Linked DNA regions of Kluyveromyces lactis. The protein of the gene in region 2 interacts with the protein of the main gene of each other region in a biochemical or structural test. Links are inferred from orthologs where the notes say so. Each region holds a gene or a part of one and is shown on either strand. Other genes may lie near its edges. The genes, in order: MYO1, BNI5 and ELM1.

Region 1 (3,410 bases), on a different chromosome or scaffold from region 2:
TTTACGCCTTGAATTAGAAAAGACGAAAAATGCTTCCGATTTATCAGAAGATAAGTTTAGAGAGTTGTCCCATGATAAAGAAAAGCTGGAGATTACAGTCAATGAACTTAAGAATAAGTTGGATGTTGTAAAGAATGACGAGCGTGCTTTAGACTCCGAAAAAGATAAATTAATTAGGGAAATTAGTGATTTGAAGAAAGAGATTCAAGAGAAGACGATGTCTTTGAAGGACATGGAAGCCAAGGTTAACGATTCCGAAATAGCCATTGATGTAAAGTTAAAGTCTTTGGAAAAGCATCTTGCTGCTACAAGTAACAGAATGAAGGGATTTTTTGAAGAGAATACTCAACTTGCTGCTCAGGTCAAGTCTTTAAAAAATGATATTGCTACAAAAAACAGCCTATTTGAGAATAAATCTGCTGAGCTCAACCGGGTTAATGTTAAAGTTTCGGAACAGGAATCAATGGTAAATTCATTATCCAAAGAAAAAGAATCACTATTAATTCAAGTATTATCGTTATCAAAGGAATTAAAGGCAGTGAGACAAGAAAATGACTCTAATAAATGTAAATTGGAGTCCATCAATGAAGAATACTCAAAATTGTTAGCGGCAAAACAAGAAAATGGATCTTCTAATGGCAACCATGAACTAAACAAATTGAAGACAGAGTTACTACAAGAACAGTCAATGAATAAATTCCTCAATGAGCGTCTGCTGTCTGTTGGCAGATCTGGTAAAGCTGTCAATGGATTTTCGTCTTCTGTAGGTACAGACGATCTACGGAGAGAATTTGATGAACTTTCCATGAAATATAAAGATGTTGAAATGAGATTGACCAGTGAAATTGAGGAAAAGAAGAATTTGATTTCTCGTTTGAGATTTGCAGAAACTCGTTTAGCTTCTGCTTCCTTTGACAATCAAACTTTGACTGCTCAATTGAAGAAGATCAAACAACTTTCAAAGTCTACTTTATCTGAAGTGAACTTAGACGAGGAACTTGAAAATATTGATAAGTTTGAACTAAACCAAGAGAAAATGCTTCTGGAAATCGACTTCTTAAAAAGACAGCTCACAAAGGAAATGAACGCTAGAAAAAATGCTGAAAGGGTCGCAAGTGCGCTTCATCAAAAGGTTGGACAAATACAACGATCTGATTCTTCTGCTGATATCTTTAAACTGCGATATGAGGCAAACGAAGATTACGTTAAATCTCTGGAGATGAGACAAAACAGCTCTCCGTTTAGGGACAAGACGAACATCATTAATGGTGATATTTTCAAACACCGCGAATCCTTCGAGAAATACGAAGAAGAACTACAGCGTCATAGAGTAGAGTCTAATAGGCTTCACAGTTCTCTGGTAGAATATCAAAACAAGCTGCACGACCTGACGTTAGATTACAATAAGAGTTTGGTAACGGAAGCTTCGTTGAGAGAACAAATAGCTCAGTTAGATGATGAACTGAAAACAGTAGAACAACAGAAAAATATGATTCAATCTAACTCTAAGCGTTATCAGACGCAATACGAAGGGTCGCAAAGAGATTTGGTTACTGTAGAAAGTGAAGTCAGAGCTGTCAAGCATGGTTTAAAGCAAGCAGAAAAAGATATCGAGAGTATGACGCAAATGATTCAAAAGCTCAGATCTCAGAACAAACAGAAAGAACAAGAGATCTGGCAGCAGGAAACAAAAATTACTGAACTTGAATCTCAACTTGACGAGAAAACGATCGAACTTGATAAATCAATATCTAAAAGCAAAGCACTAGAGGAAGATATAACACATTACAAGGAAAGGGCAAGAGCCGTAGAAAATAATAAAGAATACTTAGTGGAAATTGATTGTTTAAAAGGCAAGTTAGATGGTTATTTGAGATTAGAAACTGAAATGAAAAAGGAAATGTCAAGTCTCGGTTATCAACTGGAGACTTTGAAACTCGATTCGGAGGCAAAAATCCAAGATTTATTGAAACAGACCAATCACTATGAGCGTCTTGTGACAGAACTTGGGATTCAAAAAGATGAAGCTGAAGCTGCCAAGAAGACACTTGAAACAACTATCAAAACTCTGCAGGTGAAAAATTTGAGTTTAGAAGAGACCACACAATCCCTATCAGCTGAAAACAAACAACTCCAAGAAGAACGTACATTTTTGAGGTCTAAACTCGATGAAGCAAATGGGAACTTTTCCCAGTCTTTAAAAGAAAAGGAAAAGTATTCGCACGATGTTCAATTCTTGGAGGAATCTTTAGCTTTGCAAAAACAACAAGCAGAACGTAATGAAGAACTCATAGATCAATTGCAAACAGAATTGGATACGATAAAAACAACATTTTCTTCGGAAAAAGATAAGAATGCAAATCTATTCCAAGAAAATGCTTCTCTAGCAAAAGCCAATGAGATTTTGAGGAACGATCTTTTGGATGCGAAGAATAAACTAGCTGACACTTCTGAGAATGACGCATGGTTCAATAAAGTTCAAACTCTAACAACTACTCTAGAAGAAGAACGTACTTCCAAGTTCGAGGAAATCAAGAAGTCCAAGAAACTTGAGAGAATAATTGAAGAGTTAGAGAGGAAGAATGAAGAACAAGCCAATGTAATCGAGATAGCCAACGATGCTAAATCACAATACGAGGAAACTATTGGTAATCTCGATGAAAAATTGGGAGAAATAGAGGCCATCAATGCTACTAAGGATGCAACACTGAATAAAATGCATAGAGATAACACTTACTATCAAGAACAGATATCTGAACTTGAGAAGGAAATATCATCCTGGAAGCAAAGATACGAGAAACTTTCTGAAAGAAGACAATCCTTAGCTCAATCTACAGATGGTGTCTTCATTTAAATGTTATAGAAACATAGTTTTTCATTGATTTCGTGTGCACAGCATTGAACTGTTGATATTTTTGTTGTCCTTTATGTTAGCTATTTACATATCTTTATTTGATGTTATAATAATAATTAATGAATGCTGAATTGAGAATTAAAACCAACCCTGTTTCTTCATCTTTGGTACGTCTAGTTTTGGGTAGTTACCTAGACCATAGAATCTTAATACTGTTTCAATATCACCAAAGGATTCTCTTTCACCTTGCATTACAACCGTCACCTTCCCGTTACCATTACCAGGATTATTGACTTTGCCTGTGAAAACCGTTTCAGCAACACGTTTAATGTCATCGACGGTAAGCTTTTCGATATTTTCCATCATTTCTTTCATTGGTATCTTACGACCATGCAATAACACTTGTCTTCCCAAATCTTCAAGTTCTACGATTTTAGATTCTAGATTCATCAACAAAGATGATTTTAGTTGGTTCTTTGATCTTGACACTTCTTCCTTCGTCAACTTCAGTTTGTCGTTGGCAAACACATTCGATAAAGTTTGTGCAATAATTTCG
Region 2 (3,128 bases):
CATATAGTTTATGTGATGGAATGGGAACAGGTTTACCTGGCTTCGAACTGGACCATTCTCTTGGTTCTGGCCTTGAGTAGGATACGGTGACCGCAATTCTTGCAACGGACGGGATCAGTTCTGGAAAGCGAAAGTCTGCTTGAACACTCTGCGCAGATGTATTTCAAAGTGGCAGTTCTGCTCTGAGCTGCACCAGCAGCAGCAGCATCTAAATTCGTTGGGATTTGGAAACCTTCACGGGACATCTTGACACTTACTCTTAAACTATTGGGGCCACAAACGCACTCACTGACTCGACTATCGGAGGATAACTCTCGTATCCGAGACAGTATGTTTCAGTCAAAGCTTCTGATTCCTATGATGAGCTTGTCAATTCAAATTTCTTACTAAGGTCAGAAGAATTTCTTTTGGAAATACACGGTAGGGTAATACTTAAAGGATGCATAGAAATACACACACATTTATATAGACACGAATGAACGTATGTATGTATGTAGTACGAGATTTCCAGGTTACGACCTTCCTACCCAAAATTGGCCATTGGCCCCCATATCTACGTTTTTCCTTATTTGACGGGATAATATTACACCTGTATCGTAACGTTGTTTGTTTTTCTTGTCGAGGTATTCTTGCAATTTTTCGATGGCAGTGATCAGTTTGCGTCTGTCTTCGAGCGTTAAGGTACTTTCGTTTTTAAATTTGTGGAGGTAATCGATTTCTTTTTGTAGTTTGGTACATTTGACCGAGAGTGAGTTGTAATTTTGCTGTAATTGTTCAAAGTTTATGTCTGAAATATCTGAGGAAGTGCTTGAGACCCTAGAGCTGTTTCTCGATGCGTTACGGGAGCTTGGTTGGCTACCAACATGTACTACGCGGAACGGGTTGCTCTTCGGCGTGAGTATACGTGGTGAAGTAGGTATGTTGCTTGAGTCAGTGTTTGGTGCACGAGGGACGGTTCCGTTCTGAGTATGGCCGATTGCTGCAGGAGCAGGGTATGTACTTGATTTATCAGTGTTAGGTACAATCGTAGCTGCTGCTGCTGCTTCATCCTCTTCTGTGCTGGTGGAGACTTCGATCTTCTCAGAAGGTATTCTCTTCGCTGGAACAGAGGTTACGGAAACAGCGGGAATAGCTTTCTCAGCAGTTGGTTCAGTTTGTACTTCTGCCACCACTTCTGCCACTACTGCTGCCTCTAATTGAGTACCTGGTTTCTCCTCTTTTATGTCTTCTCGCTCTTCCGCTTGTAGTGCCGTCTCTCTGCCACTACTTAGTGTTTCCGGTACCTCGTCCTCCCCATCGCTTTTAATAGCATTCTGCACAAATTGATCAACCTGGTTCGCCGTTAGCTTCTGCAACTCTAAGTAATCCTCATCTTGATCGTCAGAAGAAACATCCTGTTTCGTCTTAACCGTGGTCTCATGAATGCTCAAGTTCTTATCTATCATCTCGTTCATCTCACTTATCTCTAACTCAATTTGAGACATTCGTTTCTTTACCTGCTCTGAATCCATAATTGAAAAAAATAGGACGCCACTATCAACAATGTGACACTTTTATTCTGCCACTGATACGCTTCAACTCGTCAACTACTAGTACAAACGCCTTTTATTAACACATACACGTATTGGTGACTGGAAGTTTCCTTTTTCCTTTGTTTATATTGTTTAGTTTTTGAATTTTTTCACAGTATGGCAGTTTATATGTAAATAAGAAAAGAGACTTAGATCCCAATTTTAAGGAAACCTGCATATTTCTCCTTCTTCTCTTCAACTTGACACATTTTTTGGGTACTATATTGGTATCTTGAAGGTGGTATTCAAGGTACTTCAGGATTGCCGTATAAATATATAATTGCTGGCAGATATACCTATTAAAAGTGAGTGGAAAGGTTTTTCTTTTTGTTTCAATTTTACTGAGTATAGATCTTCCAGAGAAGAGTCATTGCATGACTAGAAAACACCGTTATGAATAGATTTCGATCGAGATATGGCCAAAACAATCAGGATTCTAGATCTAACGCAGATGATCAGAACACGTTAATGTCTTTCCCGCATTCTACACCAGGGGAAATGGAATCTGTGTTTTCTGAATCAAGTACCATTGGAGATTTCGAACGGCTGGGTTTTGTGAATCGAAGCCCTCGATTTGCCAGTAATAGAACCGTTATATTTGCTTCAGTTATGCTTTCTAAGGGTTTTTTTGCGTGGGAAAATCAAGACACGTTTGATACATTTATTTCCAACCGTAGGAAACTTGATAAATGCTTAGATTCCGGTAAAGGGTGGCCATTATTTCATTACGTTTCTGTAGGGTTCAAATCATATTTCAGGAAAAGCACCCCAGTGTCCAAAATTTACAAATACAAGGTGGTTGATAACGATAAAGTCGATGATATCAAGGAGCCCAATAAAGAGCTTCTTCATCAAAACGAGAAAAGGTCTCTTTTCAAAGTTGAATTTTGTAACGTTTTCCGGAACGTTATCAATAGTGAAGGGATTGTATACCATAAATTCGTGTGCTTCCAACCTGATGGGATCAGATGCTCAGTTTTGATGATGAATAGCATTGGACGAAGGAACACTGATTGTCAAGTCTATGAACCTATTACTGATTCCTTATTGAATCTCAGATGGATTGGAACAACAGGATATACGTCTGTCTTTGGTGCAAACGATTTGAAATTGGTGATCTTGGATGATCAAGTTCCACATTTGTCATCACGGGCCTCTCAAGAGAGAGATAATGACAGAAGAGATTCGCAACGCAGTGAACATGCACGATCTCAATCTAAGATGCCAGTCTGGGCTATGTATTCCAGAACTACCTCAATTTTGCCAATACCCAGGCATCGTGTGTTGAAGTTGGCAACTTTCCAAATCAGTGAAGTTGAAAATGCTGAGCAAGTGCCTTTCACTTCCGAACTCTTGACATGTATGAGTATGTACTTACACGAATTGGAATCGAGAAAGGAAAGAAGATCACCATTGACATCCGCTCCGATGATTTCAATGGTGTAGGTTTCGTTGATGTAGTGGTTCAGTTCAATATTCATTGATTATGTTTATTCTTAAATCAAAGAGCTCTACTCTAATGGGATATGGAGATATTTAGTTAGGTTGAATAGATTA
Region 3 (3,510 bases), on a different chromosome or scaffold from region 2:
AATATAAACCTGAATTCTGATCTTTGAATGCAAAAAGGAAAAAGGAAAAACAGAATAATATGAGAAATGAAATGCCTGTTGGGACGGTTAAGTGTTCAGGAGTATATTGATAGTTCAACTTCTGGGTATGCCCGGTTCAATGTTGAGAAAGGTGGGTCTTTAAGTCGGTAATTAAATCTGGTGATTAGAACCTCACAAGCGGACTGAAGAAAAGTCTACGCAAATAGTTTCTATTGAGACAAAATCAGTAAAATTAATGAGTAGCCTTCTTTCAGTTTACCAGTCGATGACTAGCGCTGATCACAGGAATACGACAGGCGCTAATGTCTTTTTGACTTTTTGATCAATTCTATTTAAAACCTCCAGATCTTGAGGTTTATCACCGCACAGAGTGAAACAAAAACAGAAACTTTTTTTTCCTAATAATGCCATTTTGCGAAACGTAAATAGTAGGGTTTTCAATTGTAAACAAAATGAAACCTTAGCGAAAAAGACATTAATTCAAGGTTAGAAAAGGACAGCATGAATCCCGTTGCGTTCCCTGTACAGCAGGTCAAAGTTAAGGGTTTATCTATTTGTGAATGCCGGAGAGTGCGTGAGGTTATGTAATCTATGAATTTGACCTATTTAATGTACTTTTCCAAATTAACTGTCGCTCTATGGGATCGATTCAATGGTTGTTTCTTGTCTGTAAGAGGGATCGAAGCAGCATTGATACTACTGGCAGGCGAACAAAAATCCTCTTTGAAGGATTGTGTAGGAAGAATTTCGGTATTTTTATTCTTAGTGAGTAGATTTTTTTTCCATTTATTTAGCTTCAACTTCATTTTATTCATTGATGATAGTTCAGATTTGGAATGAGATTCCAATGTACGCAAAATATTTGATGTTGTTGGCCTAGAAGCTGTATTTTTGGATAGCATACGGTTAACAACGTATTCATGTATCCATCCATAAATATTTGAACTGTTATGAACGTCAGGTTTCAACTGCCGATGACAGATCAGATTGTATGTGTCAAACTCAGTTTCTCCCCAGAACGGTAATACATTGTATAAAATTGCGTACACTGTAATACCAAGCGACCAAACATCAATTTTGAAAGGCTGCTCATTACTAGCATGGGCTGACCCTTCAGCGAAATTACAAAGCTCAGGAGCTGTAAACAGTGGTGTTCCCACTATTTTATTCAGTTCTTTTTCAAATAAATCCTGTAGTCTGCCATCTTTGAACGGGAGTTTGCTCGGTACGATTAATGAGCATCCGAAATCTGAGATCCTTAAGCTATGATATACTGGATCTAATAGTATGTTCTGCGGTTTTAGATCTCTGTGAATAATGCCTTGTCCTTGTAAGTACTGTAAACCATTTGATATATCTCCTAACACTTTCACTGCGAACTCCTCTACTGAATCAAGTTGACCCCGGTAGAATGACTTCCATTGCTCTATCAGATCAAACTTACTTTCTCTAGACCATTGTAACTCGCCAAGGACTGCGAGGGGTTGGATAAGCCATATTTGGTCAGAATAAGGAGAGTCCAAACATTCTAATAATTGAATTACGTTAGGGTGATTTAGTTTACTCGTAACGAAACATTCCCATCGTATTTTACTCACGTTCATTTCCATGATAAGTACATCACCAGATATGGATTCGTACCTCTTCATTGTTTTCATTATTAGGCTCATAGAAAAGGGGGAATTCATAGGTTTCTTATAGATCTGTTTGATAGCTACAACTTTTCCTGTTGTGTGACCTTTGTAAACAGTACCGAACTGTCCACAACCCAATCTTTCTCCTATGCGGTACTGGTTCACAAATTTCTGTGCGTGCTCTTCTTGAGAATCTGAATCTGAATCTGAAGCCGAAACGTACCTTTCTATTATCTTTGTCTTGCTTATAACGCCAAGTTCTAGTTTCTTTTGTTGCTCATCGATAATTTGAAAGTATGATTCCGGGTCCGTACTCATAGGTTGAATCCTAATTGACTCCGGAAACTGTATGATCGTGGGATACTTCTTCATATTTCTTACAGTAGTTGCATATCAAATTGATTGCTTGTCTAGCCAGATAACGTTTTGTAGCTGTTCTTCATCCTTTATGGTTATCTTCTCATGTGTATGCAGCATTTACGTTGAATATGATTATTCTGTACATGAAAACAGGCTTTTTGAAAATTCAATGGAAGAAATATGCCAAAGAAAGGGAATACACATATGCAGACGACATTTGGTGATAAGTGAACGTGTACACCACATTTTATTAAAGGATCCATGTGAGCGCATATATTAGACCATATCGGATTATCCGGGGTGTATATAAATGAACTTCCTTATAAAAATATAAAGGACTATTAAAAAAGTTGAGAATTCATAACTAACTGTGAAATGATTCATTTCCAATTATCAAATGTCTATTGTATCTCATTTCCAATGTCACATCTGAAATATCGTAGATTATTTCAGTGCTTGTTTGAAGAATTCGTGACTCTTCTCGGTGGGGGTAGCTCAGTTATATCGCCGTGCTTCTTGTGTGTCTTTAAATGCTGTGATAAATTGTCGCTTCTACTGAACTTCTTATCACAAAACTGACAGTGGAAAGGTCTTTCCGTCGAGTGAACAGAACGTACATGTCTTTTCAAGTGTTCGCTACGGCGGAAGGTCTTATTACATTGATCACATTTGAAAGGCTTTTCTTCTTCATCCATCGGAGAGGTAGATTTAGGGCCCTTTGATTTGGACATGCTGGACCGTTTCTTCTTCGTGGTTGTCGACTGTGCACTTGTGGGGAGAACATTTGATTCAGAGTAAACATTAAGAGTTTGGACATCAGGTTGGCTTGATCCAATAAGGGCTTCAGGGTTTGTAATGGGTAAATTGAGTTTAAAATTCAAACCAGCTCTATCAAGGCCTAACGAAGTTTGGCTCGTGGAAATTTGAGTCTCTAGTAGTGGATCGTTGTTCAACAATTGTGGAGAAATAAATCGTCCACTTGATGAAGTTTCCGTAGGATTCTGTGATGCAACTTGGGTTGACCTATTCAATGCAGATTTTCTTCTGAGCCTTAAAGCATCTTCATGATCTTCTGGATCTTCTTCATCATCGGATATTATAGCATTTTCCCAAGAAAGTCCATTGCGCGTCATGTCTCCATATAGCTTCGATATAACATCTTGGTTACCATCCAAAAGTGACATTGAATATCGTTGCTTACCAACTCTATTATGTGCTTCCTGATTTGATGAATTGCTTCTCTTGACATTCGATTGTGTAAAGGAACCAGTCCTTAACTTGTTAGTGTTTATGTTACTGCCGTTGCTAGGCAGGTTGGATTGTGTCATATTATAAGCATTCAATAGTTGAGTGAGCTCGTTATCAATCTTAAACGCACTATGGCGTTGCTGTGACTGTTGCTGCTGGTGCTGCTGGCGCTGTTGTATCTGTTGGCGGTGCATTTGTGATTGCAGCTGAGCCTGTTGTTGCTGTTGTTGCAGTTGCTGTTGCAGAT

The links.
Region 1: the proteins of BNI5 (region 2) and MYO1 form a complex in vitro, tested with the Saccharomyces cerevisiae proteins (2 studies listed by BioGRID). The link is inferred for Kluyveromyces lactis from reciprocal best matches to the Saccharomyces cerevisiae genes BNI5 and MYO1.
Region 3: of the proteins of BNI5 (region 2) and ELM1, one has a biochemical effect on the other in vitro, tested with the Saccharomyces cerevisiae proteins (2 studies listed by BioGRID, with this or other methods). The link is inferred for Kluyveromyces lactis from reciprocal best matches to the Saccharomyces cerevisiae genes BNI5 and ELM1.

The regions. Positions count from the first base shown.
Region 1 is NC_006041.1:1,018,416-1,021,825, reverse strand, and holds the end of MYO1 (myosin 1), read left to right. Parts: coding exon 1-2,854; downstream 2,855-3,410. Other genes in the region: MAS2 (mitochondrial-processing protease subunit alpha), read right to left, coding at 2,993-3,410. UniProt on the Saccharomyces cerevisiae protein: Required for cell division.
Region 2 is NC_006040.1:682,115-685,242, reverse strand, and holds BNI5 (Bni5p), read right to left. Parts: upstream 1,512-3,128; coding exon 513-1,511; downstream 1-512. Other genes in the region: DNA-directed RNA polymerase core subunit RPC10, read right to left, coding at 33-245; KLLA0_D07964g (uncharacterized protein), read left to right, coding at 1,965-3,017. UniProt on the Saccharomyces cerevisiae protein: Required for normal septin function and cytokinesis. Its recruitment to the bud neck by CDCd11 and SHS1 ensures efficient localization at the bud neck of MYO1, the type II myosin of the actomyosin contractile ring.
Region 3 is NC_006042.1:2,487,843-2,491,352, reverse strand, and holds ELM1 (serine/threonine protein kinase ELM1), read right to left. Parts: upstream 2,028-3,510; coding exon 624-2,027; downstream 1-623. Other genes in the region: KLLA0_F26961g (C2H2-type zinc finger protein), read right to left, coding at 2,465-3,510. UniProt on the Saccharomyces cerevisiae protein: Important role in G1 events required for bud emergence and septin organization. Coordinates cell growth and cell division at G2/M, essential for efficient cytokinesis and for regulation of SWE1.